2 linked regions of the Neodiprion lecontei genome follow. The protein of the gene in region 2 purifies or fractionates together with the protein of the main gene of each other region. This does not show direct contact. Links are inferred from orthologs where the notes say so. Each region holds a gene or a part of one and is shown on either strand. Other genes may lie near its edges.

The links.
Region 1: the proteins of tyrosine-protein phosphatase non-receptor type 9 (region 2) and leucine-zipper-like transcriptional regulator 1 purify together in Homo sapiens (affinity purification with mass spectrometry; 3 studies listed by BioGRID and IntAct, with this or other methods). This does not show direct contact. The link is inferred for Neodiprion lecontei from reciprocal best matches to the Homo sapiens genes PTPN9 and LZTR1.

What each region holds. Positions count from the first base shown.
Region 1 is NC_060262.1:24,973,208-24,991,178, reverse strand, and holds leucine-zipper-like transcriptional regulator 1, read left to right. Parts: upstream 1-6,258; 5' UTR 6,259-6,526; intron 6,527-6,596; 5' UTR 6,597-6,645; coding exon 6,646-6,752; intron 6,753-7,208; coding exon 7,209-7,517; intron 7,518-7,838; coding exon 7,839-7,953; intron 7,954-8,051; coding exon 8,052-8,218; intron 8,219-8,375; coding exon 8,376-9,361; intron 9,362-9,533; coding exon 9,534-9,736; intron 9,737-9,804; coding exon 9,805-10,089; intron 10,090-10,495; coding exon 10,496-10,630; 3' UTR 10,631-10,678; intron 10,679-10,780; 3' UTR 10,781-12,769; downstream 12,770-17,971. Other genes in the region: histone-lysine N-methyltransferase PR-Set7, read left to right, coding at 1,368-1,533, 1,646-2,222, 2,793-3,003; uncharacterized protein LOC107217489, read right to left, coding at 16,332-17,738, 17,884-17,971. UniProt on the Homo sapiens protein: Substrate-specific adapter of a BCR (BTB-CUL3-RBX1) E3 ubiquitin-protein ligase complex that mediates ubiquitination of Ras (K-Ras/KRAS, N-Ras/NRAS and H-Ras/HRAS).
Region 2 is NC_060265.1:22,244,325-22,259,234, forward strand, and holds the start of tyrosine-protein phosphatase non-receptor type 9, read right to left. Parts: upstream 9,311-14,910; 5' UTR 9,307-9,310; coding exon 9,196-9,306; intron 1-9,195. Other genes in the region: conserved oligomeric Golgi complex subunit 1, read left to right, coding at 9,682-9,953, 10,241-10,408, 10,525-10,813, 10,905-11,106, 11,342-12,662, 13,342-13,621, 14,005-14,223. UniProt on the Homo sapiens protein: Protein-tyrosine phosphatase that could participate in the transfer of hydrophobic ligands or in functions of the Golgi apparatus.

The sequences.
Region 1 (17,971 bases), on a different chromosome or scaffold from region 2:
GTTATGTTTTCGAACCATATTCGAGCATCATTTTTTTTCCCACTCGATGAGTCTCACGTAATCTCAATTTTTTTAAGTTCGGCTAACAGAATGGAAACTGTAACCGTTTTACAGAATTACTCACTTACCGCGAAATTTTCGAACCCTACTAAGTGGATTGTACTCGTAACTTGAATTCAAAGCGTACGTTTTACGAGCATATATGCAGCCTGCATTGTATATAAGCATGACATTTGTTTGGTAATTTGTGTACAGCCATCTCATTCTGACAGCATCAGTTGGGTACATCATAAATAATACTTATTAGTGTGTATCGACCTTGATTTTTATGTAACCATCAACTGTCAAGCATAGGACATATTTTTAGTATCCATATCTCTGTTCTTCCTCCTCTCACAATTGACTGTACTATTCTTTTATTTTTGATGGGACGCTAGTCTAAAGACAATGTTTGCACCGTAATTATGCTTTAAGTGCACGTGCATTCAACTTCTCACACTATGTCAGTCACTGAAAACAAATGGCTAATGGCTAATGGCAAACTGCATTGTTGTATGTAATGAAAATTCAGTTTTTATTACGTGTGATTGCACTGTTTTTTTTTCATGTCTTATTCTCTTTGTAAAAAATGTCTGTCTGATTTAGTTGTACCTCTGCAACTAGAATTCGTGCACAAAAATGTATTACGCATACATACATAACACAGACTAATAATACTGAGGAAAGAGACATTGGACCTATATATATATACAATATGTACACATAGTTGATTCATCAATCACTTGTCATTTTGTTCTTCACTGCACAGAATCTAGTATTAAGTCTCTGAGTTCTTAGGTCAATGTAAAATCACAATCCCCCAATGGCAATTATTTCTATTACCATTGTTTCATCACTCGTTAAATAAAAAAACATACGATTATGTTCGGAGGCTAAATCCTTGCAATTTAATACATCAATATTTTAAAGTTTCCAAATCATCGTCAGAGCGTCTTTAAAATGGGCGATGATTCCTAAAGCAATTACCTTTAGTTAGATCTAGCATTGTTTTTATGAAAACGTTCTGGTTTAACAACATATAGTTAACTCATGCATATATCCGCTGAGTTATAACTCTTGAGAGACAAATTATGTCCATGAGATTGTCACTATGTAGGAATAAAAGCAGTACTTATAATAGAAAACAGAGATTTGTTTACCGGGCTTTCACAAAAGAAAATACAACCTGCTATTCTAGCTAGCTTCCTTGTTATAACAAAGAATGTATCTCTACTAAAAAATATTGTAAATATAGTCTTTCATTCCAATTATTCTTATATTTTCAGTTGTCTCAAGGTCATTCTTGTGAAGCTATAAAACGAATACATATGTACAAAATGGATATTCATCTTCGATCAGGACACAGGCAAAAAAAACTTGACACCACCGATAATCAGAAACAGTTTTTAAATAATTTAGAAGATCAATTTTCATGCACTAGGAGTTCACCAAGGCGACAAAATGGGTTTGATCAGCAGCTGTTCAAGACAGATGGTGTGTCGTCAATTTTTCTTTGTAATACATGATTTGTGCTACTGTTAATCTGACAGTAAAACTGTGTTGAAGTTTGATAAATGGAAGACTTATTGAATTTATATTACCATAGAAACTCCAGTTGCTGTACCAGTCAATGGACCTCCAACTCCGCATCGGATCAATATGACAAGAACAGATTCTGAAGATTCTGAAAAACCAAATGCTGGTGATAATACAAATACGAGCAAGATATTTTATCGAGAGTCTCCCAGTACTGTGCTGGACAATGTACAAAATCCTGCCAAAAAGTCATTGAAAAAAGGTCGTAGAAAACTCAATCCAAACAACACCGATGGACAAGGATTACTAAAAATGACTGCGAATAGAACCAATCACAAATTAACAGACTATTTCCCAGTTCGTAGAAGTGTTCGTAAATGTAAAAGAACTGTGTTAGAAGAACAACAGAGGGACATGGAAAATAAGGTTCTATGTCAGGTGCAGGATGGGCTGAAAATACAAGAGTTCATTGGTAAGGGCAGAGGAATTGTTACAACGAGAGAATTTCGGAAAGGTGACTTTGTGGTAGAATATATCGGTGACCTGATTGATCAAAATATGGCTAAAAAACGAGAAGCTGAATATGCTCGAGATCACAGTACAGGATGTTACATGTACTACTTCAAGCACCGTAACCAACAGTATTGGTAAGTATATAATATCGTCATTCTGATTATTAACAAAGTGAGTTGGTTGTAGGAAAGACCCAAAAGACCATTTGCATTTAATTTTTGAGGTTTTCTTCTCTATACTAAAAAAGTTTCTATTTTCATACTAATAACAATAATAATAATTCCTCCCTACACTCGCCGTACCCAATAGAGTATGTCCCCAGAAGCCACATTGTGACTTGTGTAGGGCAAGGCAGGGGATGGATCGGTAACCATTATTGTGCGGCTGCAGCCAACTTAAGATGTTCGGTAGAAATACCCGCATTCGCACAAGGGATAAGGAAAACTGCCGAAATCCTTGTGCGAGTGTAGCCGCACCGAGTTCAAACCCCAACTTGCCTATTCGGCGTCTGAACGGAGTCACCCAACTTACATTTTTTGCGAGTTACAGCTCAGGTCTTGCTTGACAAACTAGAGATTTGAACTCGAGTCCTCCCATTATACAGTTTCACATGCTATGTGCTATGCTACTATGATCTATCATCAAACGGTGACGTTTTTTTTTACAAGTATGAAACTAACGAACATATTATTTTCTGTTTACAGTGTGGATGCAACACCAGAATCAGATAAGTTAGGCAGATTAGTAAATCATTCTCGTAATGGTAATCTGATTGCACGTGTGATAGAAGTTGGATCTATACCACATTTAGTCCTTACGGCTAAAGATGACGTACCACGTGGTGTTGAAGTGACTTATGACTATGGAGACCGTAGTCGAGAATCTATCCGTAATCATCCATGGTTAGCATTGTAACGAGAAGTAGGATCATTCTTACATCTCCGGTAATTAGTCATAATTAGATAAAATAATTTTTAACCAGTGCACATATTTGCAGTCCCTCGAGTTGCTAGTTACAATAATGCAAGTGCACCTAAATTATGTAAAAATGTTTACAGAGACTGAGATTACGATAAATTTAACACTGGTTTTGTACTAACTAATATCTTGGTAATTGCCCATGTAATCAATAAATGAAAAATTTATTCAACTCTGTAAAATTGCTAGAAATTTACAAATTTAATGTGATGGTAAACATCACATGAGAATGGCAGGCACAGATTATCGCTGTGTACTGCAATATTAGGGACCTCCTGCATATGGTGGAAAAACTTCCTTCAGGAGCCAACGATACCCGTTGCGTTTAACAATATACATTACGCGCTTTTGAGTGATGTTCGAACGCGAAATTCTTGAATATGAAATTGTATCTGTCAAATATGTGATTAAAAAAATTACTTCTTCGGTAAAAAAGTTTGATGAAAAATAAAATTTTATATCCAACGAACTCTGAAATAAAAAAATTACAAGTGCATATAACAACGGTGATTTTAACTTTATGCCTACGTTCAAATCTCCTCCTCAATATCATAAAAAACAAACTTTTCTCAATAACGTGAATCTGAAATCGTCAGATGCCATTTCACGTCAAACATTTTTACCAAAGAATTAACTCTTCTTTTTAATTTAAACCTGTTCGTTTCCAAGAATATTTCCCTCGAACATCGTTTATCCGCGTATAAATGTATTGCAAAGAGAAACTGATCAGATTGACTCTTAATATTATTACCTATTTTACACTCATTTAATCAGTTTTAATGTATATTTATTGGTTTGGTACCGTTAAAGATATTATTTTTGTATAGGTTTATGTTTCGAAACAGACAATTAGTATCATTCAGTGATTTATGATTGTAGTATTTAATTAACCTTTTCAATGCAATGATTCTCACATTCTTAATAAATATTAATGAATAAATTAGCTCTTCTATATATCTACAATAAGGATTTTTAAACGATACTTAGTGATATTCACATTTCTTTTCATCATCTCGAGAAACTTCTACATTTTTTAAATCTCTCGCAATCGAAATTCTATGTAAAACAATGGTCCTTACTACATATTTTTGCAAAGTACAAAATAGAGCTGATGAACTGCACTGGATTGCAAATAAGTAGTAAATGAAAGAGAAAACAAATAGTAATTCGAATAGAAATTATCAATGGGTATAGCATAATAAATACCCCAGTTCAATGAATAATAAAAAAATGACATACTATTTATATAAAATTGCAAAAATGTGAAACACCATTATAATTATAGCCGATTTAAGTATTATATGCGTTATACGAAAATCCTGTGGAAGCAGTTGAAAAAGTTGAATAAATAATGTTTCTTTCAAAATACTATGCCAATTGTGTAGGAATAAGAATGCTAGTTTAAAATCGTATCACCATACAGGAGCAAACAAAACTGTTCTTTGATAAAAAATTTCAAGGCGCTTAGCGTCCAACGACAACTGGTTTTGATTAATTAAAAAATGAGCACAGTGCGGGAATAAAATCCAATTCCGATCGTAGTGTGATGAACTAAAGTTATTTAAACATATTTATTATTCAGTTACGATTATCCTAAGTGGCTTGGGCTATTACAGACTTGGGCTATGTTGAAATTCTTATTACAAATTGAAATATATACAGTTATAAAGTTATGGCGAGAACTGCACAAGCCTAGAAGTTCGGATGGGAGGTAAAAGATAGTAAACGTTAATGTAAATCATCGTAGTGTTTAAAAAAGTTTGAAGAATTTGGATAAATAGTTACAACTATCTTATCACAGATTTGATGAATAACTAACTATTATTTAAGCGATCCCGTTGAAGATTAAAAATCAAACGTTTGTTATTTAAATTCTAACTCAATAGCTACATAACTGCCTGTTGTATTTAAATTGTACAAACTAATGAATAGCCGTGCTTCGTTTATCCTTATTTATCTTTGATCAAGTAAAATATCTCACTCTCAAATGGGTGGACTAAAATATAGTAATGACTTAGATGTTATACAAATACGTCGGCTCTGCCTGCCTTATTAATATTTTAGTAACATATATTGTCTAGTATTCACATAAAGTTAACGTTAGTAGATAATTTATGTTAATAATTAGCCTGTATAGTATTCAGTTGACTATATACTTGTGTATATTCATTTATAATGTAGTCACTTACTTCCGGAATATTTCTGGTAAATAGTGTAATACTATCAATGTGAATATTAATGACATTGTCAATAATCATCCCTGAAAAATTTTATTTTAATTCTTTTTAAGCATGTTTCTACTTTTTCTGAGGTGATCAAACTAGCAAATGGTCCTAGATTGATTTAAATTTGGCTTCATAACAATGTAAAATATACTTTTTTCTACCCAACAGACAACTTGTACATTTGATATAGTTTTGATACAAAATTGAATTGTTATACGTATTTAGTTGTGCCAATGATCAGTATAATTTCACAAAGAAATTTACTATTTTTGGTGTTACCGAGCCTATTAAGAGAATGTTATAATTTTGTTGGTATCTCGTAATATTTTAAGAGTTTCAATGACCCTGATAAAAACAAGTAATTACTTCTGACAGTTGGATTTTGTTCCGCAGTTTGAACTTTCCCTGCCAGCTTTTTTCTCTTAATTCATCAATTCAACATGTCTACAACTAAAATCTCTGATCATTTAATTACCTCTACGACTGAATTGAAACAAAATATCATAGATAACTTTTTAGTGAATGCATATATAGGTATACATATTTTTTATTATACGCTTTATGTTATTACAAAGATGTCATGAATAAAAATATAATTGTGCACATGAACATAATATTGAGATGATGTTTTTATTGAAAGATTCTAGGTGTGTAACAATTAGAGCTGGTCTAATTGCGCGATTTTCTTATCATGATATAAAAGTACTTGAAACGTTGAATTTCAATGAAACATTGCCAAATAATTTTCAATTCAAATTCTTCCAATATTCACAAGAGTAATGATAAAAAATTAAGGGATACCGAATTGACTAAACTTAGATAGGTCTGAGGCTATTTCGATTTTGATTTGTCAAATATAACTACAATAATCTCATCACTGACAGTTAAGATAATATATAGGATATTATCTTACTGACAGTGTGCACTGAAAGAAATCGTGATAGCAGAAAATAACGCCTGCCAATGGGAGAGGATAGAAATATTATGAATGAAACCCACGCACTTCTGTCTATCACACGCAAGCTCGAAACGAATGAAATATCGATTTGATAAACAAGAACCCCGAATGGCCAGAATTTCGCGGTTGAAAAAATACGAATTTCTGATTGGCTACAGAGGGTCATCCACCTGATTTTGACACTCGACATACAAATGTGACAAACGCATAATAATGATGTAGAGTAACGTTTCGCAAAATCACAATATAACGCTGCTTTCATCTGATACAAAGATAAGTGAGTACTTATTTTGTTATGCAACTATTGAACGGACAATTAACGTAATTGGAAATGCAAATAATTTGAGGTTGTGAAGCTCCTTTAGAATCGGGTGAAATTTTACCGACATAACCGAAATGGACAACACAGCGACAGCCGAGTGTCTCACCCTGGATTTTGGGCCGTTCGAAACGGTTCACCGTTGGCAACAAATGCCAGAATGTGATGAATTTGTTGGAGCCAGGTGCGATAAATTTTCGTCAATCCATTTCATGCATTATAGGTTATGTCAGTTTATGTCAAGTTATAACATCGCTCTTCACCGTTTGCTTTCCTATTTTAATCCAGCAATTGAACCGCTTACTGATGCATTAGAGATAATGTTTCAATTCACACATGCTATACTTCATGACTTTGATGGAGCAGATACACCTACAAAAAATTTGTTTCAATATATTAAGATTCTGAATAAAGTTAAATGAGATCCTCTGTAGAAGAGTATCAGTCAATCATTTGTGCAGCTTCTTATATTGATGTCAACTGTCCAAGTATTGTGCTAAAAGTTTGCCAGAAACAGGTGTTTCGTTACTTTATGAAAGTCATTTACAAAATTTGGATATCTTCATCAGATAACATAATAAAATATCCCCTTATAATGGTAAATAAGTCAACATCCATCTCTATTATTTTTTCTACACAGACGAAGTAAGCACACGGTAGTAGCATATAAAGATGCTATTTACGTATTTGGAGGAGATAACGGAAAGAAAATGTTGAATGATTTGCTACGGTTTGACGTTAAAGAAAAATCTTGGGGTAGGGCGTTCTCCACTGGGATTCCGCCAGCACCAAGATATCACCACTCAGCCGTAGTTTATGACGTTTCTATGTTCGTTTTTGGTGGATACACTGGAGACATTCATTCAAATTCTAATTTAACCAACAAGAATGATTTATTTGAGTATAAATTCAAGACTGGTCAATGGATTGAGTGGCGGTTTATTGGAAAGTAAGTTGATTGTGACCTTTATCAACATTCCTACAACGATGATAAAAATATGGAGCTTTCCATAATAATTATGGTACCTGCTCCTCTCATTATTTGAATCTATTGAAATCATAAACAAATTGCAGAGTATTCGAAGAGCAGAAAGTTTATGTCCAAGCATCTAGTTGTGATATGAAGTAATTGGCCAGAGCAAGACTGTTCATGTCTAATAAATATATATATGTGAATATATATATGTCTGCACCTGGCATTGGAATATTATTGCTAAACTACGAACTATGTATAATACTTATTTTCATAGTATCTCTTTCAAATCTGTAGAACACCTGTACCCAGATCAGCCCATGGTGCTGCAGTGTATGATAATAAGCTTTGGATATTCGCTGGGTACGATGGGAATGCTAGATTAAATGATATGTGGACCATATCGCTGCTTGTAAGTCAATTACATTCACACTAAATTATAATTAATAGATAGTAAATTTTTTTATGTAAAAGTAAGAGTTGATTAAATAAAAGCATTGTGGTTTATAGCCAGGAGATATGAGAGTTTGGGAAGAAGTTGCGCAATCTGGAGATTGTCCACCAACGTGTTGCAATTTCCCTGTAGCTGTTGCTCGTGAATCTATGTTCGTTTTCAGTGGTCAGAGTGGAGCCAAAATTACAAACAGCTTGTTTCAGTTCCACTTCAAAGACAAAAGGTCGGTGAAATTGGCATACCAACATCAATAAAGTTTTTTAGTCAAACAAATATCCAAATTCATTATGCAAAAATGCAGACTTTCATTACAAGACTTTTGTAATTAAGAAGCACTCGGATTTTTTGACATAATGCGTGACATGAATTATGTTCAATAGGTGGACTCGAATATCCACAGAGCATATATTGAGAGGTGCTCCACCTCCTCCAGCTCGCCGTTATGGTCACACAATGGTCAGTTTTGACAGGCATCTCTATGTCTTTGGTGGAACGGCAGATTCAACCCTACCCAATGATTTGCATTGTTACGACCTGGATACACAGACATGGAGTGTAATTTTATCATCGGCAGACAGCCAAGTACCATCTGGACGATTATTTCATGCTGCAGCAGTAATTGGGGAAGCTATGTTTATATTTGGAGGCACTGTAGATAACAATGTGAGATCTGGTGAGATGTACAGGTTTCAATTTTCTTCTTATCCTAAATGTACTCTGCACGATGATTTTGGAAGATTGCTCAGCAGTCAACAGTTCTGCGACGTCCAATTTATTGTTGGAGAAAGCGAAGAGAAAATACCAGCACATATTGCTATGGTAGCCGCACGATCTCAGTGGTTAAGAGCTAGAATTAAACAAGCCCAAGATCAGAGAGAAAAGCATCTTGAAAAAATTTTAGGCATTACCGATCTACCGCTCAAAGATTTACCGTTGCTAGAAGTCAAATTGAAGGATGCTGTGCCGGAAGCCTTTGAAATGGTGTTGAACTACATATACACTGATCGAATAGATCCTACCAAAAAAATAGAAGATCCGTTGAGCAACAGAATCGTACTTCTAATGATGGACGTTTATCGACTAGCTGTTCAATTTCACATGAAAAGATTGGAACAACTTTGTGTTCAATATCTTGAAGCTACTATCAGTCATGCAAACGTTCTTGAAGCACTTCATAATGCAGCACTTTTAAAGTTGTATTTTATTAAAGAATTCTGCTTGAGTTTTGTTGTCAAGGACAGTAACTACAATCAAATAGTGATGAGCCAGGAATTTGAAACATTGGATCAACCCTTAATGGTAGAAATCATAAGAAGAAGGCAAATGCCGCAAGCTAAAAACTTTCTAAAGTCATACGAATCGACAGGTACTTTATTTAATATTGCCAAATTTTGGTGTTTAAAGGAATCTTTTAGTGAATACTTTGGAATAAAGACAATAACAATAACAAAGTGTGTCTTATTTAGAGCATAGATTCATTACTTATTGCTTGACGCTTTTACATTTTGTATGGTGATAATTTTATTTTTCTTGAATAGAATTTGCACACATTCATGTGTTGGGAACAACTCTAGAGCAGGATATGGAGGTCTTTTTAAAGAGTGCGAGCACCGAATTTTGTGATATTATGCTGATGTTGCATGGGACACCCATACCAGCACACAAGGCTATCCTTGCCGCTAGATGCAGTTATTTCGAAGGCATGTTCCGATCTTTTATGCCTGAAGACAACATAGTGAACGTAAGTATATTACTAGGCCCTCTTATTATTGATTGTAGTACTTTACTTGTAACAAATACCATTTTCAGATCCAAATCGGAGAGATGATTCCTTCAAAAGAATCATTCGATTCCCTGCTCAGGTATATTTATTACGCAGATGTCTTAATGCCTCCTGAGGACTCTCTGTACCTATTCACTGCACCAGTATTTTACGGCTTTACAAATAATCGCCTGCAAGCCTTTTGCAAGCAAAATCTTGAAATGAATGTTACGTTTGAAAACGTTATACAAATTCTTGAAGCTGCAGATAGAATGCAGGCTATTGACATGAAAAAATATGCTCTCAATCTGATCGTCCATCATTTTAGTAAGGTATAGAACAACATTTCTTGAAAGAAAAGTTTAATGCATAATATGTGGAGCATACTTATGTAAATTGAGTCACCTTGATTCCTGAATGTCAAACTTTGTTGTGATACTTAACTTTTTTACACTCTGTGGAAAAAAATCCATACATACGTGCACTCGTGCTTCACCTAAATCAATGAGACCTTATTATAAATAAATTGCTTTTTTTTATGTAGGTGCAATACTGTTGAACAATTGAGTTGAGGAAAAATGTTGATTGGGATCGTTTTCCAAGTACTCGTTAAAATTTAGAAAAATAATCCATCAGTTCTAATCCAATTTTTGACCACAAAATATTTACCATTTTTGGTTTCCATTGACTGTGGAAGCGATATTTGAGCATCACATAAATGGTGTACCTAATTTGTAGGTGGCACGATTGCCAAAATTGAAGCAGTTGAGTCGAGAACTTTTACTGGATATTATAGAGGCATTGGCGGATGAAAAGAGTGAGGCTCGAATGTGTCAGGACATGTCCAGTGCTAGTCTTTCCAGTGACTGCTGACAGACTTCCAGTCAGGTATGGAGAGCTCCCATGCCCTCCAGTTTTCAGGTTTGTATTTACAAGAGAATAAATGAGTTATTAAGTTAAATGGGTAAATATTATATATAAATAAAATGGAAAACAAATGGTGAAAAATGTTTTAATTTTTAGGAGTTATTTCGAGTGAATTTCATCTTGATAACACGCATGATACTGTTCATTGGGAACTACTACTTTGATTTAAAGATGTGTCCGCAATATAGACAAGGCTACAGGCGATGTAACCATAAGAAGAAGCGACATCATCGATTTAAAATTCACTGACAGTTGGCATGACTTTTATTACGACTGCTAGCGTGTCTCAAGAAAAAAGATGACACCAGCAGCTTCAACTATTGAATTTTTTTCACATGAATGGATTATTACGTGATAAGTTTTTGAAATCTCGTCACCAATTTAGTCATACTCAATTTATAGTATAGTAATAGCAGACAGCTAATTGTTAGTAATATACTTGTTGCCCTTGACAATGACCAGTAAAAGCATGTCTCAACGTTCTTGTATTGGCTTCAACAAATCAATAATCTGCTCAAATAACATGATAAGCATAAGTGTGATATTGGTCAGTTTGCAGCGTTCGCAGGATGAGTTCATTTACGAAAATTAAAAAATAAATTACCACAGTAAATTACGTTATTATTTATTGCAGTTAGTAGTGATTTCGAATAGTTTTTTACTTTTTCCAAATAAATCTAGTCACACTTAACCCGGTGGAAGAATTAGAATTAATGATGAAATGACACAAATCGTACAATACTTATGGTCATTTCTACGATAAAAAAAATATGAAGCACGTATCGTACTATGTTACAAGCTTTTGTATAATAAAGAGCTGTAATACGATTTGCTGGTAAATTCTAGTAAAAACAGAAATTAGTTTTACGAAATCTTAAGATATTAAGCACGCGAATTAGCACGAGTTATTGAAACATCTGCGCAAGAATTCAACATTCCACAACCGTAATAATAGAATATTTTGTTTATTAATTGTGAATTTAAGAAGATTCGGGTCCTATCACTATCAAAAGTAACTACCGTTTCAGGTTATCCTAATTTCTAAATTTCACGGTTATCCTCTCTCAAGTTACATGATATCGTAGTTATTAATTAGGTAGTTAATTACCTATATTTAGAAAATAATTTTGAATAACAGATGTAGTCCTTTAATGTTTTATCTTTACTATTCAGAAATTCTAATGTATTGTTACATTCATCAAGACATATTGAGCGAAAAAGCATTGTCTCCGTATAAATGATAGCATTGACAGGTTTTTTTAAGCATCACTGAAATCGTATACATAAGTTTGTATTCATTAAGCAAACCATAATTAGCGAAAATTGTATGGTTAAAAGTTTTTTCATTCACTTGAAGTGTTTGCGAACGTGTGTTATGTAAGAATTTGATACAGCTAATCTGCACCTTGATCTAACGTTGGTGTAATTAAATTTATTTGTATATATATTTTTAATCAATTTATGTATCATTGATTGTTTTCTATTTACGAGCATTCTTAGTAATGTATGATCATACTCAAATGACAGTGTTGAGTGTGGAAAGTTCAACTTATTCAATATTCAATATTGATATTGAATAGGTTTGATGCATTTGGGATGTCCAACAATTTTTGTTATTCCATTTGGTAAGAAATTTGATTATTCATCAACGCGATACGTAAACAAAAGTTTCACTGATAATGCTCAACGGTTTTTTTTTCTTTGTAGCCAGCACAGTTTAATGGTAACAATTTCTGTATTAAGTCATTCGTTTCACTGTACAATTGCTGTTGCCTGTGCAAAATTTATGTGTGACTATTGATAGAAAAGCACAAAACGAACAGAATCTCTGCATGTGCCAAATTATGTTAGAACCAATCTAATTTTAAAAAAGTGCAATATTTGAATAAAACAAAGCATTATATCTAACAATATTTATTTTAACGTAGCTTGGTTTTGAATAATAATATGCAAGCGTTCACACCATTTGATATGCAAACACTTGAAAAATATAATAATCTTGTTATATGTATATACTCTGTGGAACTGCCACAAAACTTGTTCGATATTAGAGATTCTCAAAAATAATAAAGAAAATATCATAAATAATTGTATGCTGTTAGCTCATTAGTAGTGCCTAGAGAAAATATGTTACAACAAGAAACTTTTGTGGGATTACTACTAAACTTACCACTTACCATCCCACACACGTATGTTCGAATATTTTTGACGTTCCTCAAGAGTAAACTCGTTGAGTTTCACGTGCATCTTCTCCTATGACTTTCAATGGATAACGGATTTCGGCTGGAATCCCTGACCACTTCAGATTGATGATACTGCATGTATAGTAAAGTTTTCTGAAAATTAGTTGTGATTACTAGTCGAATGAACGGATATTGTGCAAACATGGTATAAGACGATATTCACTGTTATATACTAAATTATATGGATACTAACAAATGATAGGTATATATCATTCGTAAAATACGTCTCTAGAACGTGATAGTGAAGTACATACAAATAGAAATACAGATATTTCTGAAGAATCGACTTTATTTATTGAAATATACAGTTTAAAAACGTAATGTAATCACACTTTTGTTCAAATTTTTTTTATAAACGATAAGGCTATCTCTTTTCATACTATTGTTCAGCTACAGTAAAATTACATTCTTACAAAATACTTATATATTTCATATTGTCACCTATTTATGAATAGGCATATTTCATACATAAGTATACCATTAATCAGTATGATTCACAATTTAAAAGCTGTAAACTTAGATCTCTGTATCCAGCTGGTAACTATCATATAGGCACGTTTTCATTTTCATTGTGATTGAAATTTGTTTATACACAAAGTATATACTTTTCTTGTATATAGCAAGTTTAAAATTGTTTTTCTTAGTTTAATTATTACCTATCAACAATGACTTATATAGCAATCACAGACATCCATTGTGCTGTATCAAGTTTATAAAATTTTGAGTGGATAATACTAATTTTGAGTTAATAAACATTCTATTTTGGGTAGTTTAAATACAAATAAAGTTCACAAAGTAATGTTTCCGTGCATACGCAATAAGTGTCTCAAGACTGAAGTGATGTCAAATAAATCTAGAAATCATGTCTTCACATGTTTTTGCCGCATTAAATTAATTTTTTGAATTTTGTCCATACCATTTATCCAACTTATACAAATTACATTTCTGTTGTTGAAATGATATTGACAAAATGATTGCATTGTAATCCATGTTTCAATTCAAATACCATCGTACTAGAATTCAGAGATTCAATGTTCAATTGAAATGGTAAAAATTCAAATGAAGCATAGTATCAAGAATTTTTTGTACTCTTCATGTAATTCCTATAAAACATTTCGTTTGCATTGGTGACCTGTAAGAAAGTGATGTACCTAACATAAATTTTTAAGTAGCTCATTAATGTGATTAATGCACAGATCAACATAAATAGAACCGACGGAACTCAGAACTTCAAATACTTCACACAGGTAATCGTTTTTCTATTTCTCCAGAATCTATAAAAAATTTAAAAAAAAATTATATATATTAGCAAAATTCAGTGCATGGTATCAAATTCATCGACATATCTTGACAAAAACATCGATAAACTTATAACAGATATTGCTTAAGTTTTACGTCAAAGTGTAATGCATCATTTAGGAAATATATGACTTATATGAGAATAGAAAAATATTGGAATGCAGTCAAATATACAGGCATATTTGAATGCACATGTATTTAAACATTTATTATACATCAGTTATGCGGAACGGAAATTATTCGGTTTGAAATTAAAATCCTACAGTAAATGAGCACAACAGATGTCGGTTTGCTATTCCACAGAAGACAATCATTTCATTCTCTCATAAATATAGATCTTTCAACAACTCTATATAATTATTGTAATTGTACATATTTACTCACTAATATTGGTCACAAAGCTCCTACTGAATTTTTACTACTACTAGCAAAGGCAAATTAGTGAATGTAGAAAATTTAGTAGCATGTACTGTATTTTAGTGTTAGCAACCAACCAACAAAAATAATGAAGTTAGACCAAGTGAAAATAAATTTTGTTCATTACAATGGGAAAAAAAATCTTCATCCTTTGTGCTAAATAAAGTTGTAACCAAATTAATATTGGTTGGTGGACACCAGAAATGGATTCATAAAAGTATTGTACACAGCATCATCTGATACTGTAATCCCTGCAATTTCTTCTTTTAATTCGCTAATAAGAAAAGATTTTGAATTACGAATAGTGTTGTACTTCATACAGTTTATCCTCGCTACAAGTTTTTCTACTCTTAAAATCACCGCTGGCTCACATAGACTATAAAGCACTCACTGAGAAATATTCGAAATAGAAATAAAACAGGCGTTACTGTAAATTAAATCAGTTTTCTTTTTTTTGAATGAAGAAAAAGGTAATTCAAGTTCGTTGATGAATGAAGAGAAAAAATGTCCGTTCAACCTGACGCAGTAACACTACTAAGCTCTGTGCACTAAATTTTGGCCGTTCCGTTCAAAATACTAATGCTTTGTTTACAAAAATAATGCATCAACACTTTGAAATGTCCATACAACATGAAAAATAAATGAAGTACGAAAAGTAGAACAGTAACTAAAGCACACATGCGTCATATACAGTTCTACTCTATTTATTCCATCAATTGGAACAAAATCATCGTTGTTTGTAACCGGACATTTCTTTTTTCAAATACAAAAGTAGTTTGAACAAAATCGATCTGTAGCCTCCTGACCACCATATTTATATGTTACCTATCAAGCTGTTCCTAAAATTATGATGCATCAAACACTAAATTGCCAAAAATGTAGTAAAACTAAAAGATATTTGCAAGTGAATTTTTTTTTCTTCTTTTGCTGGATTTGCGAAATAGATATTTAAAATGCAGTTATCAAAAAGAAGAGGAAGGAAATAGACAAGAAATCGAGAAAAATGACACATTTATTGTTATGTTATTTACTTTAAGCATTATTTAGGGATATTCGAATATTCGAAGTATTACTGTTGGTATGATTATGAAAATTTAATAATTTCATCATTGTGAAGTGATGGACTAATGTTATACGATAAAATGATAATTATTTCGGGAGAAAAAATGATCGAATATCCTCAGAAAAATATCTCAAAGATATAGACATCTTCAAGTACTCAAATGTTCAGAGCATATTTGCGAAGTATACTTCTTGAAATATGAAGATACAACTGTAGAAGAAAATTAGAAGTTCTGAACTAAAAGCATTATTATAGATGAAACGCAGGTAGGGCAAACATAATGATTGGATAATTTGTTAGTTAGTATAAATAATATTAGGGCAAGGTTAACTACCCGTCGTTTTCGATAATGAAAATTCATCAGGATTACTTTGAAAATAGCTTTCACTGTTAAATTGGAGTATACATAACTAAGCATAAAGAAATCGATTTTGCGCCATTTCTACTTTACACAATAAAACGCGATTTCGATTTTCTTATCGAATGTGCCTAAGAGTGAGAAATGATTGAATTGAATTAAACAAGGAATGCAAGTATAATAAATTGCGTTTCAATCGCATTTAAGGCAGATACACTGGCCTTAATTCAAATTTTCTCATAACTTTTGTTATTAATTATGTTACCTTTATTTACTGAGGCGTTTTATTCTAGACCGGGTCGATAGTGACCGGGCGCTGGGATTGTACGGTGATTTTACCCGTTTCGCTATACCTGAACTGCTTGGACTCGCTTGTGGCCCAGATGAAGATGATGTTTGCTTCAATTTACTGGGTAATGAAAGCCTGTTCGCTTTCACGATATCATATTGACTGGCCATTTGAGGCGGTACTGTATGACCCATGATATCAACATTCCTTGAGCGTAAAGTTTTAATAGGGGTTGCTGCGATCGTATCAGATCGTAACCATCTCTGCGGTGGTAAGTCAGGCGTACTTGTTATATTTACTCGTTCTCTCTGAACGGTGAAACTTCCTCTCAGCTGTATTCGATTTCCACCATTTATTGAAGGCCTCCTAATGGTTTTCACGGGTGTAGCCTTCTTCTCTAGGCTTCTTCTCTGGTTGGTCCTTGTATTTTCAGGTCCTTCTCCAGTAACCTCCCATTTATCCGGCCACGATAGTCGAGTGTGACTGTCTTTACCTTGATTTGCTGGGTCATTTTCGTCTATCGGCAGAATTCTCTGATCCTCGGAACGTGTTCGCCTCTTCAGATTAGGTTCCGAACTACAACTCTCATCAGCCTGTGCTAGTGTACTGTGTCTTCGTTTCGTACCAACAGCTGTGCCAGGTTTCAATTCATCGCAAGAACCGTTAAATGCATTTTGTCTAACCATATGGTGCAAATTATTTGATTCTTCTTTGGTTTTATGATCAGACATTCTGCTAGGTTTTGGCACTTGTCTATTCAGACTTTGTAAGTTATGATTATTTTGACTTCCCATGGATTTGTGATCAGGTATCCTTTTGGAATGGACAGGCTGATCGCTTTTCTCTAATTTTGTTGTAGACACGTCTTCCGATTTTGTTGAACCTTCTGTTCGTTGTACATTGTCAGAACAAACGCTTGATGATACTTCCGCAACTTGTATACTCTCTCTACTACGCAGTTCTCTTTGAGGACTTTCATGACATTGTTGCGAACATTTAGTCAAAGGCTTTGTAACATTGAGCGGTTGATTTTTCAAATTCGGATTATGCTGCTCTACTAAAGGTTTTGACACTGCAGGTAGCCTTTCTCTATGTAAAATATTAGCTACTTCTGTAATTTTTCTCATAGCATCCACAATATTATCCGATGAATCTGGTTGTTTAGACTCATTTTCACTTTCATCAGTCTTCGTGAAATTTGGTACTGGTGGTTGCGGTTGGGCGGCGTACAAATTAGGATTGGTTTCAGGTTTTGTGGAGTAATTTGGCTCGTACTCGACTTGTTCAGAAGTACTGGGAACTGGGGAAAGTATTACCCGTTGAGGAATTCCTTTTGGTGATATCGGGCGTTCTTTTTCTTTGCAGCTCTTCTGACCAAGCAAAACCTGAAAAGGATATGTAATATTAATTAGCATCAGTGTGGACTAGAGCTTACAATTCAGCATATGTTTTTGCTATATTTGTTCCTTTGCAATACAGTTGAAAATGCAACACAAGAAACTCGTCATTTTGTCACAGAATTCAGCTAACCTCAGTTCGTGATGGTCCAGGTGGATCCAGCATTAGAGTAACAACACTGGTGTTGTCTGCTCTAAGTCTTGTTGATGACCACCTTTCC
Region 2 (14,910 bases):
ATGCCGCTCGTGTCTCTTTTCGACGCAGAATTTATTGCTACCGATTAATAAAAATGATAATGCAACTTGCACGAGTCTTTAAATTGCACTGTAGCGGGTTGATTGTTTTTCTTTTTTACTATTTAGGTGGTTGCTTAAAGTTTCGGTAGATCAAACTCAGTTGAAAAGTCTTCCTGAATAGCGAATATCGTCATTGCGAATCGGTGCAATATTTAGCTATAATCTTGCCATGTTGTACTCGCAAATGGATAATTAGGAAGTTTCACTCGCTTGCCGAAATTGGAAGAAATTTATCATCAAAATTCAGAAATGAAATTATTAATTACCGATCGTGCTTGATGGATCGGAACTTTGGGTACATGCGCACAAAATTCGAGTATCAACGACGAATTTGACGGTTTTACAAATGATCGTATATGCAAATTTTTTTGCTAAATATCAAACGAATTTTATCACAGATTACCGAGTTTTTTTTATATTTTTTCCATTTCCTGCGACTATTACTGCATATTGGATGAGCGTGCAAATTTTCGAGCTCAGAACCGATCTATAAATATACATATATTCATAATCAAATTATTATATAGGTGAAATTTCGAGAAATTTTTATACATAATTGAAAAAAAGAGTTACTTCACGCTTTCAATCCGAAATTATTTTGTGACAAAACTGTGCGTACGTTCAACGATATAAACTTTCAGCAGCAGAACCATTTGTATATATAGTTATGAAGTAAACATCGGATGGCGGGGACGAGCGAAAATGTTATTATTGCTGTGTAACTTATAGGACCGGATGTCACTGATAGTTTCTAGCAAAGAAATCAACAGACTTAAACCCCTGTGGGCAATTACAATTACACATAATACCTGTGCCTACATAGAAAATAAAATAACACTTCGCGGTTCTGAGGCGAATTACACCGAGAAATAGCGCGGCTACCATGTAATTATCACCTTTGTCAGAGATCGTCACGCGTGTGGTAAAAACCGCTGGTGCTTTTTTTTTATTTTCAGCTACAGTGGGGTATAATAACCGAGCATGGATGGAAAGTAATTTACTGTGAACACTTAAACAGCTGCTTACGAGGATGATTTATAATACTTACTTCTCAACGTACTTAGGATGAATAAAACGATTCGACGTGTGAATATTGTATTACTTCCGCCAATGGCCGCTAATCCTCGGAAGGATTTATACTTGCATGTGATATATAATATACTTCAGAAATTGGATCAAGCAAAGTTCTGCACTTGATGCAGTATTATATACATACCGCATGCACGTAGTGCAGTACAACTTGTACCGCACCGACGGATTATCGGTTCAGGTGAATTTACTCAAATGAACCGATTACAGAACAGGAATTTGCTATACCTTCCGCTCATCTTCGGATTGCACAAGGTGACTAAAACATTTTAACACGGGGAGTGATTTTAATTCGATAAAATTGCTTATTATAGAATAACTGCAAATATCAGACGAAAATATCAATATGAATCGTAAGTGATATTTCCATCAACGGGATTATTAATCCACGTCAGCTCAGGAATCGCATTTTCCATATAAATTAACGATATTTGTTTAACGTATCGAGAAAAATTTCTCGACTACAGAGGAAGTTCAAATAGGAAATTTTATCTAAAAATTTTCTTTTATCGCCACATGTATCCTCAGTATTTATTTCATTTTTTGTTCATAACATTAATCATTGCGATATTAGGAACAAAGATAAGTACCTATTTGCTTTCGCAGCTTACGGAATAACGATGAATCTAGACAGTAAAATATTTTTGGATAGTGTGATAAATAATTGGTATTAGGAAGAAAACGACGAACAGTGAAATACGTATGATTGAAAATCAGTGATACAGTGGCTTGATCAGAGCTGGTATTAAATTTAGTAGTAAATTAATCGATACGAGTACGGAAGCCTACATCAGACGAAGGGGCGAGGTTGAAGTTCCGAATTCGAGAAGTTCCAAACCAGTCCCGAAGAAAAGAAATCAAACTTTTACGAAACAACAAAGTTTCGAATGATCGGAAACCCGACGGCTCAAAGTTCCGAAATCCCGGATTCCAAAAATTCACGTTACGATAGAGCAAAGTTCCAAAAAGTAAATTATACTCACAGTTTACTCAACGAGCGTATATGAAAAATCAGAAGAATGAAAAATCAGAATGACCAGGAACGTAAAAATATATCGAAAATCCAAAGCAAAGAACGATCAAAGTGGTGAAATTTCACCAAGTCAGAAATTCACAGAACTGAAAATCTACGATCGTTCGGAATTTCGATGTTTCAGATTTTTAAATTTTCTCATTTTCGCACTTTCGAAAATTTGACTTGTCGGAGTTGCGCCGTTTCAGTATTTGGTCCTTTCGGCATTTTGCACTTTCGCAACTAATTTAAGCGTCGGGTTTCGGACCATTCGAAACTTTGATGTTTCGATCAGCTTGATTTCTTTACTTCAAGTTTCGCCACCAAAAAAAAGAAAATCCGAATATGGCGCTCTCGAAATTTTTCAAATTCGGAGTTTCAACCTCGCCCCCAAACGGAGAGAATCTCGCGGCGTCTAGACCATTGTATAAAAATCAGCATATTACGAGGGTTATCATATATCTATACCGTACACCTTGAGTAGATATACATATAGGTATAGTATAACGTACCCGCGGTCTGTCACGAGCGAGCAGTAATCAAACCACTTCAGCAGGAAGGGGATCAATGTCAGGGTGCGCTGCACAGATCAATAAGTCTCAATTGACGTGCACTTGTCGTCCTCGTTAATGCAAAATGAGGAGTTTCACGCCCGGTATTATTAGCTGAAAAATATACCAAATAAGGCGTCTGCGAGTCCGCAAAAAATAATTCCAACGCGAATTCAAAGTGGCTGACAATGAACGTAATTTGCCTAAATTAAAATCTTACGTATATTTAATATATATATAAATATATTATACGCAATTCATCGCCCGCAGTCAATCTTCCATAAAATTCAATACCAAGTTGCTCATTTTTCGTCTCAACTATTCTTAGGTAACATGGAAAGGTCGCTAAAATTATCTCGCTTACGGATCAGGCATTCGCAATATTAATCATAATTAGAAGGCGACTCGGTTTTTCCTTTCTGCGCGTCGGAATGTTTATTTTTGCAACGGAAACTGATTTCACGATTGATTTCAACGTAGGAAAAAATATTGTTTGCAATAATTGCGTTGTGTAACGTCACTTCAGTTTATGCGTAATTCCAAGGTTAGATTATTAGTTAACAATTCTACTTCCTACCATTTTTTCCGGTTTCCATGCAAGCTGATTTCTGAATACTACTTTATACGACAAGTGCAGCTTTCCGGAAGCATTAGTCATGTCGGAATAAGGTTACTTTCTTTGTCGCGTCCAATACAGTAATATACAATATAATAAATGTTGAAGAATTAATAAATTCGATATGATTTCCAATTTTTATTTCAAGCTTGTCCATAAATTTATTGACTACACTGTAAAACCATCAAATTAAAAGAAAACAAGAAAAAATGTTCGGAAAAAAATTACATCATTTTTGATTCGAGAAAATTTAGACAAATTTTAAGATTTACTGAAAATTACGCGTATATTGAAAGATGAACTATGACGTCTTTTAAGTAAAACTGCAGGAGTGACAACAAAATCGATCTCGGTTTGTTCAACTATCGGGATATTTGTGAGCGCGTCCGAATTCCCTTCATTAATATAAACAAACGTTGCAAAATAATTATATACCTATACTTGTACTCGTGAATTATCATTATTATAACTCCTCCAGGTTATTATTGTTATTCTTCGATTATCTAAGCCTCAAATTATAATGTTGAACGAGGAAGTGAACAAGGTGTATTTTTTATTTTTGCAATAATATGACTCATCATTCTCAGCAAACCGAGATGCGATTGACTGAATAAACATACAAGGTCGGTTCGACTCGGCATCGGCAACACGAGGTGCCGGCATTTCACATTTCTATTCTTCGAATATTGCCTGCATCGAATTCTTTTCACCTGACGCGTCTTATGAGATAGGTTAAAAGCTTACCAATACGCTTGGAAACAAATCCTACGAACATTACTTATACTTATATAGTTAGTGTGTCATGTACGAACAATGTAATTAACGGGCGGATCGTTGAAATTACCACCATCGTCTGTAGGGGACGATGCGTGGGATTCGTCATTTTTCTATTCTGCGAAAAACTGGCTCACGCAATAAGCATGATATGTTTTCGCATCCAGTTGTAAAGGGCGAATTGCTATTCCACGGGGGAAATCCGAATAACCGACATTCCGAACTCCATGCAGCTGTTCTGCAACCCACTCGCGAGATATTATCTATCGGATAAAAAGTAGTTAACTTATATTTACTGTACGCGTTGAAATAGATGATTCAAGCGACTTGAATGTTGCGTTGTGCAAGTCAAGTGGTATAATCTTTTTCAAACGAAGACTTTATAGGTGCTTGCAATTTATTTGCAATGTGCAGGTGTGCACTCTTCTTCTATTTTTAAATAATATGATTTCCATTAACCTTGATTCAACTTTTCAAAATCACAGTCTAAACACGATATAATATCTCGATTCGGTAGGAGATTGATGAGTCAAGAATAGACACTTTCTCGTTTACATCATTCACACGTTCGCAAGCTGAATGAATATTATTCCGAAAATGCGAGAAAAAAAATTAATGTTTTAAACTGGAGTATAGATATAACGTCGATATTTTACTTAAAATAAAATCCCTTCAAAATAGTTAAAAATCTAGCACAGATTTCTTCGATTTAACTCCACGGTGGTCTGTTTTCAAAAAAAAAGTATTCTCTACAACGCCACTGGGACACTTTTCTTTACACCTCGATATCGTTAAATACTCAATTTCGCAAGATTGGACTAATTAATATTGATTTCGATTAGAAACCAGCGGTATTAAATCGGTGAATTTGCGAACAATAGTTTTCTCAAATCCGAGCCCTTGTTTACAATGTTAGTACTTGTGTTTCTCGTTTATTTTTTTAATTTCATTTCTCTTTATCTAAAAAAAAATCTAAATTTGGTACATTCTCAACGTTCGACTACGATAGGTGATGAATAAAAAAATAATAAAAAAAAAAGGGATTGAATTTCGACAGATCTGTGCGAACCTCTAATTTGAGTTCCACGAAGCTTAAATAATTGATATACGTAATACATAGTTGAATAATATAGCAACGTGATCGAATCCGCGTGTTTGTAATTTGTAAAAAATTTAAGACGCACTGACTCTTCAAGATCGATTGTATATGTATATATATATATAATATATATGTATAAGTGAGTACGACGCCATCGACGCCTGCATATAGATATGCGTTGTATGCGTTCGTCACATGTGTAAGTAAGCTCGCGTGACGCCGGAGGCACGTCTGTATTCATTTCCTGTATCCAGTAGACAATGTCCGGTTTATTCTTCGTAATCAGACTTCATTAAGTAATAGCTGCGAGGAGCGAGGCGGGTGAGAATTGCTCGGATCTCGATCCCGCGGCATTTGAGTGTCCTACGAATTAAGGTACGTATACGTAACCCGTAACCTACGGTGCTTGCGTTATACGGTTGATTAATTTCTCCGAAACGGTGCGCGAAGCCATTGTACGATAATTCGATCAACCAAGGGAAGGGTCAACGTTTCGGATACCGTTTCAATTCCTTCCGCTAAACGTTGCGGGGAAAGTTTATAACTCGTTAAAAAAAATTATGAAATTGTTACCACGCAATTTTAAATTCGTTAAAAGTTTAACTGTAAATCACAATACTAATAAATTCGGTAGCGAAATTATGACGATAAGATGAATTTTAAGTTCCTTTCGTTTTGCATTACAATAATTGTAATAACGATATTATATCTCGTGACGTGTGCGGTTATTTTTTCTTTCTTTCTTTTTTTCTTCATTGTTCTTTATACCTGCGCGAAAGTACAACAGCTATTATACGACTTGCGTGATAATTGCTTATTTTCGTGATGATACAAGATCCCCGAGTGACCTTAAATTAGACGAACGAATGAACGAATGAATGGCTGTAAAATACACGTGCGCATATATTATACCGAATCCCTGAGAGCTAGCTAACTAGCTGCATGCGAACCTCGGTATAATACATAAAGAGAGATTGTGTATTATAATTAAATAACATCCGCAACAAATTTCATATTATCGTCATACAAGCTGCCACAACACTTTCGCTGCATGCATGACTATGCGTACGTACACACACGTGTATCTATATATGTACGCACAGAGACACACGCGTGTGTAAAACGCGATAAGACAAGACTCGGTTTAATCGAAAGGATGTTTTCATTTTTGTCATCGAATCTTGATCTACGTCGGTGATTGGCCACCGCTATATCAGCAGACTTGTTCAGGGCACAATGCCCTCGCTGCATTCGTTAATCAAGAGGCGCATGCATGTCTCGCTGCGGCGGCCAAACCTTGCACAATATTTACGAACCGGTATTTTCAATGTATTCACAATTCAACTCATTGAAGCAAGAAGGAAGAGACGAGAAAGGTTTGCTCGTTCGACTCGCGACAAAATGTATCGTGGATCGCGATTATTCTTAACACGCGGACTTCGTCCGCATAAGTTGATATCTGTTTTTATTTAATAACTTTTGTAACTCGTCGGATGATTGTTACAAAGTAGAGGTGGGACAATTTTTCATCAAAGGTATTATGATAATGGATATTTATACGACTTGAATAAAAATGATGTAGAAAAATTATTGCTGTTTACGAATAACTCTTTCGAACTGTTCCTCATTTCGAAGTATACACCGTGATATCAATTCGACGAAATGGAAGGAAGTTTTTTCCTTGACGATAACAAAGGCCTCTTAACTCAACTAAATGAAATTGAAATCTGAGGTATGATTAACTTGAAACGTTAAACGATAACCGAATTGTTATTATATATTTCTGTAGCGGAAGGGAATTAAAAAATACATAAATGTATTACCGTTTACGTATAATATATTATTGCCCAAGTTTGTACATCGGTCACTCGTTCGAAATAGTCATCTCACTGACATACGTTTATCTAGAAATTTTTTGATCGTCCTCTCGTTCTGAATAAAACATACGATACAAATTATATATCATTTCATTCTCATCAAGACTTAATTATAATACGGCAAAGATAATTCAAACGGGGATAAGAAATGCGGTAATTACAAAGATCGGTACGAATATACCTTCTCCTCCTCCATAATTCTTGGTAAAGCATTGAAATAAATAACGACAGCAACGATAAACTCTCTATGATATAAAAAAATTGACCGGCTCGAATTAGCCTCCGGGGAATCGGGAATTTAGTTCCGTCCACACACTGGAACCAGCCAACCACTTAGTCTTTATTCGCAATTTCGAGGTACCTATGATTAGTATGATTTCATTTTTTCACCGTCGCTCTGTTCACAGAGGATTCTCTTTCTTCCGAGGAATAACAATTAGTCATAATTCGCCCAAATATTCGATCCCGCTGATCTCTTACCGTGAAACATAAGGTGTGTAATTGCGACACGAAGGGTACGAAGCGAAACGCTGACAAAGTGAGGAGTAACGTCAGCGAAAAACATGTACGCCGATTCGTTACCTTTTTTTTTTTTTTTTTTTATTTTAATTCTATCCCCTAACTCGGATTACATTTGTTTCAAGGTTGATTTCTAATCCGTGTAATGTTTACGAAAAGTATGAGATTTCATTTTACTTCTCCATACTCACGCGAAGTTAACGAAAAATAATGGAAAAAAACGAAAACGGAATTCGACGACTGATGTAGACGTAGTATTAATGCTTCGAGAAATTCGCCTGACACTGCGTCCGTAAATTAAAAAACGTGCAAATAGGCGTGTGTGTTAAATACGGTTATACCCTTTACACGAACACGTTCATACGGATGTGAGTAATACGTCAAGCCAAGAGTATATCCGGATGAAACGTGGCGTTGATTCAAGAGTATACGTTATGCACGTACTTTGTATAAGAATTAATGACAAAAAAAAAAAGAAAAAAGTATTCAGTTGATAAAATAGAAATGAAAAAGTTTAAATTGAAACGGGGCAACCAGTTGCGTGTCCTCTAAACTGGGGTAAATCATACAGAAATGGTACCATGAAAGTAAAAGTAGAGTTTGTGATCGAACGAATATTGAGAAATTAATAAACTGCTGTTTATCTCTTTCCCCGATTCGATTGCAGACTTCTTCTTCAGCGAAAATCGTGACACAATCAAGGATTTCGAATGCCCTAATAAAACTGGAATGTGCGGTGGAATTTAATGCTTTGAAAAGTAGTTGAAGGTTGATCGAGATCTCGTCTGATATCAGATGAAACAGCCGGAGTTTGTATAATGGAATGCAGTTACGTCGTTGAAACGCTCTAGATTTTGGCTCGATCCTGTGCTTTTTTTTATCCGTTAAAGATTCGAGGCGTGCCTGGTTGAAAGTAAGGCGTACGTATTCCGCGGTTTGAAAAAATTTTTTTTCATCCGTTTCCCTTCGAGTACGTAATATTTATTAAGTATATGAATTGTGAGAAACGGAGATGAGAATATTATAGACTTATATATGTAGAGTGTGTTTACACGTGGCAAATGAATGTAACGTTTACGTTGCGACGTGCAGACGGGCATATAAATAAAAACAAGATACGCAAGTGTATAATAATGCAAAGATCCGGACCGACGATCGGGTACAGAAAACCGTCTCTTCGTCTCTGAATTTACCGTACCTAATACACAATTTGAGATGCACCCGGAAGTTTCGAGCACGGATTTTAATTTGTAAACGTAAACAAATAATAAATAACTCGAGAGAGAGACACGCAACGAGTCTATTGGAATTGCGGATTTCACCACTTTTCACGGGGGCTATTTATACACCGCACGACAAAAAAAAAATGAATAAAAATTAGTCCCCGCTGTCAAGCAAACCTGACGGAACTCGCGGACGTGCGGAAGAGGTGTTGAAATGTTTACATTCGGTACTCGCGGTGTTATTTATACACGTTGAATAGCAGTTTGAAAATACGTGTGGAAGCGGGGAAGGGGCGAGAAGTCTCATAGCTCTCAATGAAATATCGCTCGGCGATGGATTCTCGTTCCACAAATAACAATTCGCATTTCACTTACTTGTTCCTGCTCGACGGTCAACGCGGCCGCCATGTTGGCTTGACACTGAACACAGAACACAACCACAAACGGCGACTGGCTCCAACTGCAGACCGAACGCCACACTAGCATTGAGATATTTGTGTCTACAATACGCGCCGCACTGAAGAATGAAGAAAACGTAGATGCATGACTCGCAGCGTAAATCTTCGTTGTATCGAAGGTTCGGCAGACTCCCGCTAAGCGCTATTGGCGCTACATTTTGACTAAGATAATGCCTCACGGCGCCGCAGATTTCAAACTTTATTAGCGATGATTCATTTTGCATGAAGATGAGGTTGAGCCAGCCGAGAGATGTTGACGTGAATTTCCAATGTGTGGTATTATTTCGAAGCGATCATTATCCGTATCTCCCGGTGTAGCAGATCAGGACGCGATCTCTAGTACCGACACAATTGACTGACAAACCGACAACAGAGATCAAAGCTATGAAGGCACGGATGCCTAATGTCAGTTAGTTGGTGCAGGAACAATTCGAGGTGCGTTGGTCTCTGGAACGCATGTCTTATGGTTTCGGATATCAGCTGGGATTGTGTTGATGTGTCAAAATCAAAAATTAGGGTTCGGTATTTAAAATTTAAAATGCCAGTTGTTAATCTTTTGGAGCTGGATATAAAAAAAGTTTTCGAGGGTCATACGATTAAGGAAGTCGAACAGATACAGAAAAAAATTCAAAATGAAAGCGAACGAAAGAAAGTCGAGCTTCGTACGCTTGTTGGGTGAGATTTTTTAGGTTAAGAAGCGTAGTGTCAATTTGTAATCGTAGTAGTTTTAAGCTGATTTTTGTATATAAATATGCAAATAAAATTTTACCGATTTTCCCCACGAATAAAAAATACCATCAGCTTATTCCTGACAGTTTGTTTTTCTTTTTAATATTCTCATTTTGATGACTTAACGATTCATTATGACAAAAATGATTTGTCCTGCCAGTGAATATTTAGGTAATAGACTTATCCATTTTCAAAAACAAATTGAGAACAAAATACCAGTATTTTTTTGACAGAGAACGATATCGAGATTTGATAGAAGCTGCGGATACGATAGCAGAGATGAAGCAGACTTCCGAGTGCGTTATAGCAAGGATCTGCAACATGGAGGAGACTTGTCATAAGTTGCAACAGAAATACCTCATCGGGTTTAAAATGGATCCACCGGAACAGATGTTGGAAAGGTAACAATAGCGCAAAATCATTCTTGGATACTTAGGTTGACACCAATATCCGAATTCTTGTACCCTCATTATAAATCAAATGCCAAATACATTTGTGAGTTAATAAACGTTTGTAGCAATAAGTCAAATGAAGCTTACGACTCGATAGTAATGCAAATCAAAATTCTGATGGACATACCGGAGCAAATATGGTCGGCGGTAGATACGGAGAACTTTCTACTGGCCACACAACTGTTTTTGTTCGCTCAGCACATCAATTACAGTCTAAGGATTGAAGTTGGCAATTCGGACCTGGCTACCAAGTATCCGATAATTCTCAAACAGTGGGGCGTCATAAGCCACTTTAGAAATGTAATTTTAACTGGGTGTAATAAGGTTCTGCAGTCGCTTGAACTCCCAGTTGAGGTACGCGACAATTTGATATATTATTATTACGTATAAAGTAAATTCGAGTATGAAGAATAAAAATATATGGATCTTATCTGTCGATTTACAGTCAGCAGCCAATTGTTTAGCTTCACTGGTTCTTTTGGATGGCATGGCATCTACAGAGTTGTTGAAGAAATTGATTACTCTTCGAAGCCAAGCCGTCGAGGCCGTAATAAAAGACGAGAGCCATCTTAGCGTGAGGAATCGAATTAGCTTGAGCGTTAAGATGCTGACACACGTGATCGATCTGCTTTATTCCTGTTTTGTGGGTAAGAAAAATTACCTGATTGTGGAATTGACGTATTTTTCGTCATTCTTCAAGTTCGGTAACATCAGTTGTTGTATCTTTCTAAGAATGTCTACGTACTATATAAAAAAACCTTTTTTTTTTTTGTCATGTTTCCTCTGAAACCTCATTCCCACAATCTCTACCCATACTATTCATTCATAAATATTCATGCTGAGGAATCACGATTTCTCCGAATCTTGACCATGTGATTTCAGAGACGAACGGCAAGGAACAGGGCCTTGTGTTGCAATGTGTAGAGGAAGTAGCTGGTTCAAACGCGCCAACAACTTTGTCCCTGCTAAAGGTAGACAGGGATTTGACAGATAAATTCTTGTCACCATTCGCAAAGAGCCACAAACCGTCAACTCGGGGCGAGATTGAACCAATTCCGGAAGCGGAGTTAAAAAATAATTTGACAAACTGGCTCAGCTGGGTGGAGGGTTTTGTAAAACGTGAGGTCTCAAAACTGCTTGATCTAGTGACGTCGGTCAAAGGGATACACAATATCAGAGAAGAGGTTCTCGCCCTGGAAGTTCCTCAGAATTGGGAAATCATGTGCAAGAAATTATCTTTGGAAAAGACGGTAAATTTCTGGGGGGATTACTTTCAGCTGTTGCTGACCGAGCGTGTAAAGGGAATCGTGAGCATCAAGTGGGACGAAACTCTGTTCAATTTGAAGACCGACCTCTTCGACACCCTGAACAAGGTGGCCCACGATAAATGCGAGTATCCCGAGCACGATCTGAGGTGGTACATTTGGAAAGATTCCCCATCAGACATACCGCAAAAATTGAACAGGAACGGGGCCGACAACGATCGGCTTTTGCTGATGAAGACGCGGGGCTTTTCTCCGAATTTGGCTAAACTTTGCGAGAGTTTTGACAGAAATTTGCTCAACCTGCTGCAGGATCTTCACCTTTATCTTTACCAAAGTCAAAAGTCGACAACGACGACGACCGATCTCCTGGCTGTTAAAATCTCGAGCACTCTGAATAAGTTCGTAGACCGCGAAATCGTGCAGGAACAACTCCAAGTAATAAGCACGCAGAAGGTACACGAATTGTCACAGTTTATCAGGGATGAATGCCTCGTCGAAGATGCGAAGGTGGGAAAGCGGGAGGTGAACGCGATTCTGACTGCGAGGTTTTTCCAAGCACTGACTATACTCTGCCCGAGCTTGAACAAGTGTTTCACCCTTTCGAAAGTCTCGGGTATCGTTATACCGAACACGAAGTGGCAGTCGATTTGCGATACTTTGAGGGATGACAGCCTCGCCGCTTGGACAGTTTGGGCCAAGATTTTCAAACGGAAAATTCACGATCACAAGGAAGGAATTATGCCAAGGTCTCTCAACGTTTTGAAAATGCAAACAATGATTTGCGACTGGGAGAAAGTCACGATCGAGGAGGAGGCCGAGGAAGGGAAAAGAATGAAGTCTGAAATTTTGGTACCCTACCAACCTTCCATATCCGTGCAGAAGTTCCTGGCCGCTGTTAGCAAAGACTTGAATTCGATAATTCCTCACACGTTGCCAAAGTGAGTACTTTTGCACGCTTGCAAGCTATTTCTTATCTCTATTAATTTTGGTTGCATTGTGATTGAAAATTTTTTAACTTCGTATGAAATATCGGTTCAATTTTTAATAAGAGCTTGACTATTTCGATCAACTGACTTTCTACTAATCAATGTATAATAAGGATATTAGGTATTCAATTTTATCAGCGTAATACGATCTGCGGATAATCTCAAATTTTGATGAAATTTGAAATGAGCTGGTTTTATACCGCAGAGGTATTTAATAACGTAAATATTGTACGAAAAACCACAGTATAATATCAAAGAATATTTACGTAAGCGTAATTCGTACTCCATCAACTTTCATATTGAAAATTCAACTTTTTGAACGGAAAATTTTGTGAATACGTTGATAAAAATTGGTTCACCGGATGAATAGTAGAATTGGATTATACGAAGGGTAAGATTCAGTTCGGGCTATGCTGAAGAGATTTTTGATCGTTAGATATTTCGTCCCAATGTCAGCTTCCGATTTTTTTCGGACCCGCGTTACTGTAGACGCCGGGTGGTAAATGTATCTGTCCGAAACAGACTTGCGGGATCAAATGAATATAACGTAAACATTTTGAAAAGAGTCGACAAGACTTGTGGATGAATTTGGAAAGAAAAATATGGGTTCATTACACTCGCCTAATTCCAGGAAAATACTACACGAAATAGTGGACACGGTAGTGACGGAATTGTTTGAATATTACGCGGAGTTATCGAAGAATGACGACTTGAAGCAGAAACAAGCCCTGCAAACGTTGCTGGACACGAAATACGTCACACTGTTAATGATTCCTCGAGAGAATAAAAAATTTGTAGACAAGTCGTCTCAAATATGCGACGACATTCAGTCGAAGATCGATCCCTTCGATTTGGACGTATTTTATCCGTTCATACACGCGAACGTAAAGAAGAGCGCTCAGAGGACGCAGGTAATTTATTGCGATAAAATTTTTCCATCCAATTCATCGAAAATTACATTACTCGCGTTTTGGACTTTTGTTTACTTTAAAAATTAAAAATGCCAATATTTTTTTTTGCATCATTTACGCCGTGTCAGACGCATTCAAAGCTCATAATTAATTAATCAACCATCTCGGATGGATAAGTTTGAAAGGGAAACCGGCACTCCTATCTGGATCCCAAGGCATGAACCTGAATTATATATCTCCATTGCCCCGTGAACCGGGTACATAGACACAATGGAAAATTTGCAAAGCCTTTACACGCGCGATGAACAGATTCGGTACAAACGCAATTAGCGTTGAGTTAAAAATCTGGTACGAAATCACCATTGAGCATCTTGGTCTTCCAGTTGATATTCGGAAACCTGGTGCCTCACTCGGAGCAGCTGCTCTCCGTTCTCGGAGCCCGGATGAACCCTGTAGCTGGTGACGGCGCAAAAGGTGCAACAGAAGCTCCAGGAGTCCTGGCCGTTTGTTCCGGAGCTCCGTGGTTTCCTCCTCTGACAGTGACAGCGCCGGCGAGAACGGTGCCAATAGTCCCGATAGCCTCGCTGCAGGACAAGTCGATGGTAGGCATGAAAAAACGTGACGAAACAAGTCCGCTCTTTCCGGACGTAGTTTGCCTGAAATGGAAAATTAGGAGAACGGAGTGAATTTTAGTCGGTCAAATTACGACGCTAGTTTATGCGTGAGGCCAAGTACACCGAACCGGAACTCGAGCTAAACAGATAATTTCGCGTTTATAGAGTACCGCATTACGAGTCCCGTTGCCTTCGTAAATTTGGCTTAACAGCGGCGTTTATAGGGTGATGAACAGAGGGAAGGGCGCTGCATGGACAAGGTAGACCAGCTCGTGAAACTGGGAATTTAATGCTCGCCCACGGTTGTCTGGTGTTAGTTAACCAATTACAACGGGAGTCGGTGCCTCCTCTACAGTTTGTTTGGCCCTGACTAACGGAAGACAGAAACGTTTCTCTGCAAACGTAACAATAACAATAACGCCAACGACAACAATAAAAGTAACAATTCTTATTAGCAATCCGGTTAATTGTCCCAATCGATTACAGTGGATTAATTACAATTATGGACAATGTGCTGTGTGTATGTACATACATACCTGTATGTACACGCCTTATTAACCGTCACCGCCGAGCGATAATAATCTCTCTGCGAGTACATAACACGACCGCACGCTTTTGCTATTTGAATTTTTAATTCCCAACGACTTTGAACCGTTTATTATAATCACTGTGTGT